Linked DNA regions of Sus scrofa. The protein of the gene in region 2 purifies or fractionates together with the protein of the main gene of each other region. This does not show direct contact. Links are inferred from orthologs where the notes say so. Each region holds a gene or a part of one and is shown on either strand. Other genes may lie near its edges. The genes, in order: LAPTM4A, NEDD4 and LAPTM5.

Evidence for each region.
Region 1: the proteins of NEDD4 (region 2) and LAPTM4A purify together in Homo sapiens (affinity purification with western blotting; 3 studies listed by BioGRID). This does not show direct contact. The link is inferred for Sus scrofa from reciprocal best matches to the Homo sapiens genes NEDD4 and LAPTM4A.
Region 3: the proteins of NEDD4 (region 2) and LAPTM5 purify together in Homo sapiens (affinity purification with western blotting; 3 studies listed by BioGRID and IntAct, with this or other methods). This does not show direct contact. The link is inferred for Sus scrofa from reciprocal best matches to the Homo sapiens genes NEDD4 and LAPTM5.

What each region holds. Positions count from the first base shown.
Region 1 is NC_010445.4:118,165,280-118,168,927, reverse strand, and holds part of LAPTM4A (lysosomal-associated transmembrane protein 4A), read right to left. Parts: intron 1,425-3,648; coding exon 1,329-1,424; intron 647-1,328; coding exon 548-646; intron 1-547. UniProt on the Homo sapiens protein: May function in the transport of nucleosides and/or nucleoside derivatives between the cytosol and the lumen of an intracellular membrane-bound compartment.
Region 2 is NC_010443.5:116,059,643-116,063,290, forward strand, and holds part of NEDD4 (E3 ubiquitin-protein ligase NEDD4), read left to right. Parts: intron 1-101; coding exon 102-175; intron 176-575; coding exon 576-636; intron 637-3,004; coding exon 3,005-3,064; intron 3,065-3,146; coding exon 3,147-3,254; intron 3,255-3,648. UniProt on the Homo sapiens protein: E3 ubiquitin-protein ligase which accepts ubiquitin from an E2 ubiquitin-conjugating enzyme in the form of a thioester and then directly transfers the ubiquitin to targeted substrates. Specifically ubiquitinates 'Lys-63' in target proteins.
Region 3 is NC_010448.4:87,388,062-87,391,809, reverse strand, and holds the start of LAPTM5 (lysosomal-associated transmembrane protein 5), read left to right. Parts: upstream 1-1,438; 5' UTR 1,439-1,571; coding exon 1,572-1,658; intron 1,659-3,748. UniProt on the Homo sapiens protein: May have a special functional role during embryogenesis and in adult hematopoietic cells.

The DNA.
Region 1 (3,648 bases), on a different chromosome or scaffold from region 2:
TAAGTGACTCTCACGTGACAGACTAACCCTACAGAGGCCACATCCATTCCACATGTTGGAAACCTGGGAGGACAGCACAGCGGCAACTGAGGGCCTGGGAGGTAGGCCTCCCCAACAGATTCATGAAATCCGCTGCATTTACCTCCCCAGAGGAAAATCAGCTTCCCCTCTGGATCATACTGATGTTTCCGGAAAGCAACACAAGATTCAGCTGATGGAAGTACGCTGCCTTAGAAGTTCCCAAAGCCAAGAGCCTGGCACTGCTCACAATACTGTCCCCTGTCTGATCCCCCCCTCAAAGTGTGATACTTGGAGAACACTTATGAACCCAACCTATTGGCCAAACTGACTGAGACGAGCAGTGCAGGGTGCCTCTAGCCCGTGTTCTCGGGATTCCAACTGGGAAATGCCGAGACGTGTGAATTTACCCTTTTCCATACCCTAAACCACAGTTACGGCAATGACAAGAAAGTGGAGATCCAGGTGCTCCTCTTGGGAATAATCCACAGTGGCTCCCCAAGTTTTACTATGTTAAAGGGGCCTTCACCTGTGGAGGTGCTTCAAAGGCAGGATACACAGCAATCTCTGGCATGTTTCTGTTGTTGATGTATTTGTAACAGTTCCAAACACAGTTGATTAGATAAGCCTAAAAGAATACAAACAAAATTTACATATGCTGGAAACTCAGCAGACTCGGTGCTCTAAAATAAGCGTCTTAGAGTGCTCTCTCCCGCTTTCTCTACGGAGAAGGGATCTCTATCCGCTTGGACCTAGCGCAGGCCAGGTGCTCCCCCTACCTGCCCTCACTCAAATGTCACAGGTTTTATTACCACTGTGGTTGTTGGCTTGCTTGCTTGTTTGTTTTTGGCTGCACTTACGGCATGCAGAAAGTCCTGGGACAGGGAGGAAGCCTGTGCCACAGCAGTGACAACACGGGATTCCTAACCCGCTGCGCCACTCGGACACTCCTATTACCACTATCTAACAGAGAGATCAGAGTTTGGGGGTTCAAGTGTGACCACTGTGCTGCAGGAGAAATGCTACTTCTGAACCTTGGGAATTTTAACTTATTTTCAATCCTAATCATGAACCATGTCCAAAAGCATAATGATGTTCCTTCCACTTAGGAAGAATCCTGGCATTTCTAACCATTTGCCTGAAAACAAAAGGAAGAACATTCCCTAGAAGTTATCTCTACCACCACGTCAGAATAAACACTCACTCACTGCTGACTGCAAGGAGACAAGGTAAAAAGAAGGCTCAGATGAACCGTGTCACTGTCCAAACGCCCCCACCCCCCACCCCCAAGTATTCAGTCAGCAACTCACCTTAAAAATGATGAACAAGGCAAAGAACACAAGAACAATGAACAGGAGGCAGCTGGAGTCCAATGCCAGGAGGTCGTCTTTATAGGGGAAATCAGGCTATAAAAAAGGAGGGGGGTGAACAGCCAGAGCAGAAGGGATTTTTAGAGCAGGCAAACTCTTCTGTATGACATCATAATGGTGAGTACATGTCATTACACACTGGTCCAAACCCCCAGAAGGCACAACACCCAAAGTGAGCCCTAAGTACACCATGGACCTCAGACACATACACCCTGTAACTCAGCCATGGCGCATGTACTCTGTGGTTACCTAGAGAGCATCTTAAGAATACAAACACAAGGCACCCAAGTCAGAACTGATATTCTAATAAAAACTTATAAACAGAATTTAACTCAAAATACTCTCAAGCCTCATCATTAATGCATGCTATTGATCACTTAAAATGTATGAATACCTAGACTACTCCTCAGAGTCTAAACCGAGCTTGTTTTCTCTTTATTTTATATCTTTCCGGCCTCTGGTCTATCTCCTTTACATGACCCCAGATATGTCCCTGGATCACTGAGTTACTCAGTTGGGAGATGCCAAGATTAACTATTCCGTCCTACGTGGGGAAAATAATTTTTTAAAAGCCAAGTGTCAATTAATTTCAACACTCATCAGAAAGGGACACAAAGAAGGTATGCCCCTGATTATGAAGCCTGGGATTATACTATTTCCTGGCGACATATGATGTTTTATTGAGAAGGATCAGCTGTATTTATTTATTCAAATATTTCTTTAGCATTTACTGCATACATGGCAATGAGCCAGGTCCAGGGAGAAGGGTATTACAAAAGAATAATTTAGGATTTACATACAAGCTGGCCAACAAAGAAAATATTTTCCAGTCTGAGACACCAAGTGAATAAAACAGAAGGGAGAAACCACTGGGGTTCTATAAAAGCAGTAGTAAATTCCTTTCGATGTTTTTCTATAAAGTTCATTTTATTTTTTAAAACATACAATTATTTTAATGGAAATGCCAACACAAAGACCCAAATAACTTTACATTTTCATTAAAAAGCAGCACACAGAAATCCCGAAGGACCAAAAAACAAAACAGAAAAACACGAAAGAAAGAAAAAGAAAATCATATCCGCATACCAATCCCAAACCCTAGCTAAGGGTGTTCTTGTGATAAAACTGTTAAGCCTTCATCTAGAAATCAAAAAGGGTCAGCTTCTTGATTTCTAGAAATCGAAAATGGTGAATGCTAGAAATTTTACTCAGAAGGTTTGCAGATTTTCAGCCAGAGATGACAGATCGGAGAGAACTAAGCTTAGGAAGCTGCTGACCACGGCTGAGCAGGTCTGCAGGCTCTGCCCCGGTTCGTCTCCCCAGCCCTATCTCATGTTGCTCCTGTCCCTGCATGTGGGTGAGGCCGCCAAGGTTCTCCTTTAGTCTCCTGACACTGTCAGCTGCCCTCCCGCCTCCAGGTAGCTCTTAGACAGAACGCCTTCTTCTGCACTTTCCCTCCCCTCAGTCCTATGCAGACTCTGGAGGGCAATTCAAACCTTACTTCCCAGGCCAGGTCTGCTATCTGTGTGACACCCACTCACAAAGCAGCCAACACTTTTCCTTCCCTGCTTTTATCACGATGTTAACTCAATAACTGTCAACTTCTGGAGTTCCCGTTGTGGCTCAGTGGTAACAAACTCAAGCAGTATTCATGAGGACGAGGGCTTGGATCCCTGGCCTCACTCAGTGGGTTAAGGATCCGGCACTGCCGTGAGCTGCAGTGTAGGTGGAAGACGCAGCTCAGATCCGGGGTTGCTGTGGCTGCGGTGTGGGCCAGTGGCTATGGCTCCGATTCGACCCCCAGCCTGGGAACTTCCATATGCCTCGGATTCAACCCTAAAAAAAACAAAAAACAGTCAACTTTCCAATTCTTTCACTTTAAAGTCAGTTTTACTGACACAGCTCTAGGACCTAGCAGAGTGCCCTGCACACAGGAAGCAATCAACAAATGTTTTCTGCGTGAATGAATGATAAACTTGGTGGTATGCAAAATGGACTATCTGAAGTGGGTTTCGAGAAAACAACTCTTCTATAAGACAGCATTTCTGAAATAAACTTTCATTTATCTGGATCCTTCACCTCCACCCAGACCTTACGTCAGGCCAGAGTGCTCCCTGCCCCTCCACCGCACGGCTTTGACCTTCGAGCCTCCTTTGCTGCTGTCATGGGGGGCCCTAATTCATTATCGCAGACGAGACCATCATTGCTTAACTCCCCACATACACGCGTTTGCTCCTTGAAGAAAAGAAGTTTTGTTTAC
Region 2 (3,648 bases):
ATGGATTTAATTTAAAACACTGGATTTCTTTTATAGCTATCATATGCATACTTTATTTTTTTCACTAAAATAACATATCAAGGTATTATGCTTAATTTTAGACACATCAACATGAGTTGAAAAATGGTGGATCAGAAATAGTTGTCACCAATAAGAACAAAAAGGAATATATTTAGTAAGTATTTTGTTGTAACTATAAATACTTTAAGGGAAATAATTTTGTGCCTTCTTTCTCAATGAGTCAGAGTCTCAATTTTGTTTTCTTGCTTTTTTAAAATAAAAAAGTATTGTTTACTTATTATTTATTTATTGGCCATATCCATAGCATGCAGAAGCTCTCAGAGCCAGGGATCAAACCAGTCACATCAGTGACAATGCTGAGTCTTTAACTACTAAGCCGCCAGGAAATTCCCTCTTTTTTCTCTTTTTATCACAATGTCATATTACATTCAACTTTTTCCTTGGGCCTACCTAGCCTTTGTTTTTTTTGTTTGTTTGTTTCTAATCAAAATACATGTACCTTAACATTTTTTCTTGGTTCCTATGGAAAAGATGAAATGTTTTGTTTCTTTTAGTCTTGTAATACAATGGCGATTTGTAAACCGAATCCAGAAGCAAATGGCTGCTTTTAAGGAGGTATTCATTTTCTTTTGTTTGCTGTTCTGTAATTTCCCAGTCCAGTCCATAAGTTTTAAATAATTGGGCCCTATTATACCAGAGAAAAAGTAGCATGTGGCTTACTTTTTAAGACCATTTGTAAGTATATCTTCGTATTAGCAAAATAGTAAATGAATAGGTGTTCAATTAAAACACAGTCATTTAAGAATCCATACAGTAAATGTTGACCTCCCCCCTTAATAACTGTCGTTTCCTCTCACCTTTTATAGTTCCACTCCTGCCACCTTATGTAACCTTAGGTGAACAGAGGAACACGAGTGCTAGAGGGGTGGCAGAGTCTACCATTTGCTTCTTTCTGTAATGGGCTCACACTGTCCATGGTGGCTTGTGACTTGCTTTCTCTTATCAAATATTTTTGGAGGTCTTAACAGATCAACATATTTAGTGACCTTTCTTTGTAGCTGCATTTTATTCATGATGTAAATTCCCAGGTTATTCTTCCCAATTGATGGACATTTAGGCTGTCATCATTTCTTACGCTAATAAAGGCCTTCTGTTAAATATTTATCACATGCTTTTTCCTGTATTCAGTAGCAAGCACTGACTCTGTGTCTGGTGCTATGCAAGACAAAAAGACATAGGGCCTGCTGTCAAGGAACAGAGCATCTAAAGGGTGAAATGGACAGAGGGAACCTGAAGTGCTAGGTAAGCAGAGGAGAGGTGTAGACACCAGAGCAGGGAGGGGAGGAGGCAGGGGCAGGGACTGGCCAGCCACAGAGATGGAGGAAATGCAACTCTAAGCAGAGGGAGCAGCACATGTGAAGTCTGGCAGTAAGACGGACTATGCACACCTTAGAGAAAGTGCCAGCAGTTACCTTATTGGTAAGAGGATGCCATTGTGGCTGAGCAAAACCCAACTAGTACCATGAGGGTAATGGCCTCGCTCATTGGGTTAAGGCTCCAGTGTTGTCGTGAGCTGCGGTGTAGGTCGCAGATGTGCTGTGGCTGTGGTATAGGCTGGCAGCTGCAGCTCTAATTCAACCCCTAGCCTGGGAACTTCCATATGCCACAGGTGTGGCCCTAAAAAAAAAAAAAGGAATGAAAGAGCTAAAACTAAGCCTGGAAAGCTGAGCAGAACCAGATGATGGCGGGCCTGTTTATGTATAGTTTTCACTGAAATCCAGACAGTGAGAAAAGAAGGTGGCATTAAATGGTATTAAACATAAAACACCAGGATTCGGTGTTACATTTTGGCCAGATCATTCTTGAAGGGGTATGCAGTGAACTAGAGGAGGGCAGGACTAGCAGCGGAGGCTAGCTGGGTGAGAAACGGTCCGGATGGTGGGAAGAGAGCTGTGTGTGTATCTGAATGGCCCTCAGGAAGGGAGAGCTATAGCATTGGGTGATTTAAAGGATGGCAGCGTGGGGATCATCTGCATGTGTGTAGTGCAACTGTGGACTAGACAGGATGGAAAATTCCAAAGAACCCTAAGAATGGTGACAGTGGATGGCCACACGGGGGGCTGTGAGAACACCAACATTTAAGGAATGAACAGCAGAAGAAACATCAGTGGAAATCAGCTAAGGCAGATGAAGACATAGGAGATAAACCATGAATAGCAGACAGAGTTTCAAGAGCATAGGTGTTGTCAACAATATCATAGTGCAGAGAAGTCCGATACTGTGGGGATCTAGAAAGTGTTTATCAGAGGCAGCTGCAAAGCTGTCTTTGACTTTCTCTAGGACAGCTTCAGGAGAGCACTGATGAAGAGGTCAGATTGCAGTGGTTGAGGGAGAGATGGAGGTGAGCAGGTAGCTTTGGAAGGTACAGTAACACTGTCCAGAACATGACTGTGACGAGAAAAGAGAGGGGCTTGCCTTTTTGTTTTGTTTTTAAGGTAGATATGGCTTGAACGAATTTCGATGCATAAAGAGTGAGCTGATAAAAATGTCGTGAGATGACATCCTTGAGGCAGAAGAAGCACTGAGAGGAAGTGGTCCCTCTCCCCAGGGCGGGGGAGGAAGCCCTCATGGATGTTGGTGCTGGTTGGTCTGGGGGGATGCAGAAGGCTGAGGGAATTCCATCCTGCAGCGTCGCCTCAATTTTCATTCTAAAATAGATATTATCTGCTGTGAAGAAGGGATGATATGGAAGAGAAGGAGGCTTGAAAAGTGCAGAGTTTTAAAACGGCCACTTTGAGGGATCAGTGAGAGAACAGACACATATCTCGTCTTGCCAGTATTGAATTGTCAGTTAAGAGCCCACGGGTGTGTAGTGGTAGGAATCTGTGTGGCCTTGGGATTTCTCCAGTAATGCCCGAAGCTGAAATACAGGGTTACCCTCTGACTCTGCTAACCGGAGTTTGAAATATATTCTTTCCACTAGGGATTTTTTGAACTGATTCCACAGGATCTCATCAAAATTTTTGATGAAAATGAACTAGAGGTGAGAAATATCGTGCTTATCTTCAAACAAGACCTTTGTGCCAATTTTTCTTGCTTGTGGTTTGACATTTTCTATTTTGTAGCTTCTCATGTGTGGATTGGGAGATGTCGACGTGAATGACTGGAGAGAACACACAAAGTACAAAAATGGCTACAGTGTAAATCATCAAGTCATCCAGTGGTTTTGGAAGGTAATGGAAAGCTTCCATTTTCAGAAATCGCTTTTCGGTAGATGCAACCATATTACATCTTCTAGTGTGGATCACATATAGATAAGAGAGAAAGTATATATCACCCCGCAAAAATTATCTTTGATTTTGTACTGTATACATTTACCTTCTAGATATGGTCCCACCCTCCGTACATATTTATAGATAAGTAACATGTTGAAAATGTAGTAAGTGGCAGTGACAGCAGAGGCACTTCTGTTCCTCTTTAAAGAAGAGACCCTTCAGAGTTCCTGTCACGGCTCAGTGGTTAACAAATCCAACTAGGAACTATGAGGTTTCAGGTTGGATCCCTGGCCTCGCTCAGTGGGTTAAGTATCTGGCGTTGCCATGAGCCATGGTGTAGGTCACAGACGCA
Region 3 (3,748 bases), on a different chromosome or scaffold from region 2:
CCTCATCTCTAGCCAGCCTGGCCCTGCTGTTCTTGGGCAGAACAGAGCTTTTCTTGCTCCATTGGCTACCCAGCCAGGAAGTGCCAGGATTTGAACCCAGGCATGAGCCTTGGGACCAAGGTGTTAACCACTATACTGTACCAACTTTATGATGCCTGGTCTCAGCAAGGCAAAAAAAAAAAAAAAAAGAAAAAGAAAAAGAAAAAGACAGGCTTGAAAATGAAGCAGGGAAGGGCTTAGCCAGGTCACCCAGGAGCCCCAGGCTTGTAGAGACCTCTTGGTGTCATTGGCAAACAGAAAAAGTTTTGATCAAGTCCCCCAACCACATTTTGTAGGTCCCACAGAGAAACTCCTGCCAAGGAGAGGAGCTTAGAGAACTTTTATAACCTCTCCTGGTGCAGAGATGATGGGCAGCTATAGTGGCCAATCCTAACTGCATGAGCTCATGAGAGGGTGGGACTTCACGGCAGGTCCGGCTGTGTTCTCCACTGGACGTTTCACTTAGCAAGTGAGCTCAGTGTCTAGACAGAACAGGCTTCTGATGGGAATTCTGCAAATGCCTCATGCTCCCTTCCTTTATTGCAGTGTGGATGGATAACTTCTCGTGGGAGAAGGGAGTATACATCCCAGGGTAGATTGCTTAGTAGTCACAGTAGATTAATTCCAGCTTCTCCTAAGAGTGAGGGGGGAAATCCCTGATTGCGCAGGAGCAGTAGGGGGCCTCGAGGCTCACAAAGGAGGGCTTGACTGCAGGTCTCCCAGGTTACTGTGAGGCATCAGTGACCCAGCAGTGGGAAGAGCCTAGCCCAGGGCCTGACCAATAGTTGATGGGTTTGCTCAGCAATTATTCTTGTCCTGGTTCGGACAGAGTTTAGGAAGACATGCTTCTCTCCAAGGCTGGGGGTAGCGTGAAAACACCAGCCCTGAGGGGGCAGCTTCTAGCACCAGTCAAGCCTCGGCTTAAATCCCTATTCCTCTTCGGGTTAGCTGTGTGACTTCAGACAAATCACTTTCCCCCTCTGTGCCCTAGTTTCTTCATCTGTAAAACAGGAATAATAACAGTACCTCCCTCAAAGGATCGAGGAGCGCATCCGGGAACAGCCTTAGAACACAGAGGAACTACTAGACAATAGCTTTTGTAGCCCGACAGGCCTGGGTTGGAATCCTGCCCGCCCACGCTAACTGCTGTGTGATTTGGGGTGAATACCTTGACCTCTCTGGACCTCTGTGTCTCTGGCTGGATGTGGGATTGGTGACAGTCCCTGCTTCCAAGGATGGTGGTGAGTGTCCTGTATATAACCCCTTACCCGCCAGCCCTGGCACGTGGTAGGCACTGATGGTGCGAGGGTCTGCCCTCCCTGGTGGAGCCCCTCCCCAAAGTGGCAGGGGCCGCCTGTCATGCTCGATGGGGCCCTTCCCTGCTGCCCCGCCCCAGCTGTGACGCCTTTGCCCCTGCCTGTCTGAAGGGCAGGAAGGAAGTGAGGAAGGCAGCCGGCGGCTTCCCCTTTTCTGCCCTGCTCCAGGCGCCCAACTCCTTCCCTGCCAGCGCCTCGAGGAGGGGAGGTGGCACCATGAGCACCCGCACGGCCGCCACCCGCCAGACCTGCTGCTGCTTCAATGTCCGCATCGCCACCACTGCTCTGGCCGTCTACCATGTGGTGAGTGTGTGGGCAGCTGGGGGACAGCCGGTGTGCTTGTGAGAGCAGCACCCCTCCAATGGGAGGACCCCCTCTTCGTGGAACCCTGGACAAAGCCCTTCCCAGCTCTGGGCCTCGGCCTCCCACTCTGTCAGAAGAGGGAAGGGGGCCCAGCGGCAGCGGGCGAAGCGAGCAGCGGCGGGAGGAGGGGGTCCTTATTCTAAGCGAATGAATGCAAGTTCGGGTCCTCTCTGAGGCTCCGTTTGGGCCTCGGTGCAAAGGGACAGCTGTGAAGTCTTCCAGGTACAGACGGAGCAGCAGATGTGAAAGTGCTTTGGGAGCCAGAAATCTTGGGAGAAACGCAGGCTGGGATCGTAGCCAGGATATGGGGTCAGGTCACAGGCCCTGGCTTCCCCCCTTCCCCTGGGGCCTGGGCTGCTGGAAGGGACGAGAAGGACTCTCCCCTTTGTGCTTCTAGAGAGGCGGGAGAGGGCAGAGTCCTCTCGGCTTCCAGCTTCTGGGACAAGCCTCCTCCCCACCAAAGACAGCTCCATCTTGCATGGACGAGCAGGGTGACTTGACGGGCCCGAGGTCCTGGGGGGCCAGCCTAGGGGAATGGGCCCAGCGGGTCTCTTTTGGAGGCTGGTGTGCACAGGCAGGTTTGGAGTCTGTGTCATTAACTCAGAATGACCCTGGGGCTGGAGGCTCCCCCTTTGTCTTGGTGCCTGAAGGTTGGGGTCTCTGTTCTGCTTTGCCCAGACCCATCCCCCACTCCATGACTTCGAGCCACACCCAGTTCCCCTGCTCCCCAGCCCCCAACCCTGTGCCTCCCTCCCAGGGTGACTCAGGGCCTGTGGTTAACAGTTCTTTTATGAGCCTGGAAGGGCTTCCTCAAAATTAGCCTAAATCCGGCCTGCTTCGGTGGGCTGTTGTAAACTGCTCAGACCTGGCTGCATCTGCTTCCTGTCACAGGCTGAGCAGGCAGGGCTGTGGCTAGACCCCAGCCTGCAGAGGGCTGGGGCTATTCAGGGCTCAGTGCACAGTCTCTGGATCTAGATTCCTGTGTGCCAAATCCTGGCCTCATCCCTTCCTAGCTGTGCAGCCTCTGGCTGCTTACTTAACCTCTCTGAATGTCAGTTTGTCATCTAAAAAAATGGGCCCGAGACTAATAATGCATCTTTGGTCACTGTGAGGATCAAGGGAGTAAATATATGCAAGGCACGTAGCAGAGCTTGACAGGTAGTTGAGTATTTTATTACTAGGACTGCCCCAGACGCGGAGCCTGCTGCCAGCACACCTGTAAGTCAGCTGTCAGACCTCAGGGCCCTGGTTTGGGGCGGAGCTCAGAGGTTGCTCTGTTTAACTTCTGCCAGTGCAAGAATGATCCCGGAAGACGTAAATGGCACCTTGGCTGTGCCCAGGCTCTTGGCTGTCCCTGGGGCCTCTTCAAGCTTGTGTAACATTTTTGGAAGTGCAGGGTAGCAAGCAGGGGTGTCCCCATAGGATGCGGGCCCCTGGGTCCCTATTGTGGTTGTGCCATTAACTGCCTATGTGACTTTGTACAAGAGGCTCCCTTGGGCCTCTGTCTTTCTTTTTTATTTATTTTTTATTTTTTGTCTTTTTGCCTTTTCTAGGGCCGCTCCTGTGGCATACGGAGGTTCCCAGGCTAGGGGTCTAATTGGAGCTGTAGCTGCCAGTCTACACCAGAGCCACAGCAACATGGGATCCGAGCCGCGCCTGCGACCTACACCACAGCTCACGGCAATGCCGGATCCTTAACCCACTGATGGAGGTCAGGGATCAAACCCTCAGTCTCATGGTTCCTAGTCGGATTCGTTAACCACTGAGCCATGACAGGAACTCCTGTCTTTCCTTTATAGGATGACAGGCAAGGGCTCGTGGACTGGCTCAGAGGTCTCAGATACCCATGCCGCTGGGGCCCCAGCAGCTCATAGAAGTGGGCATAGTAGGGCAGATGGACGCATGGTGAGCTGGGGAGTCTGGTCCGGGTCTCTGCTGGCGGCTGCTCTCTGTTTCCGTTGATTGTTGCCATGGAGGAATGTGGGCCCCAGCAGCTGTTCTTCTGACATTTGGAGAAACAGGAAACGCAG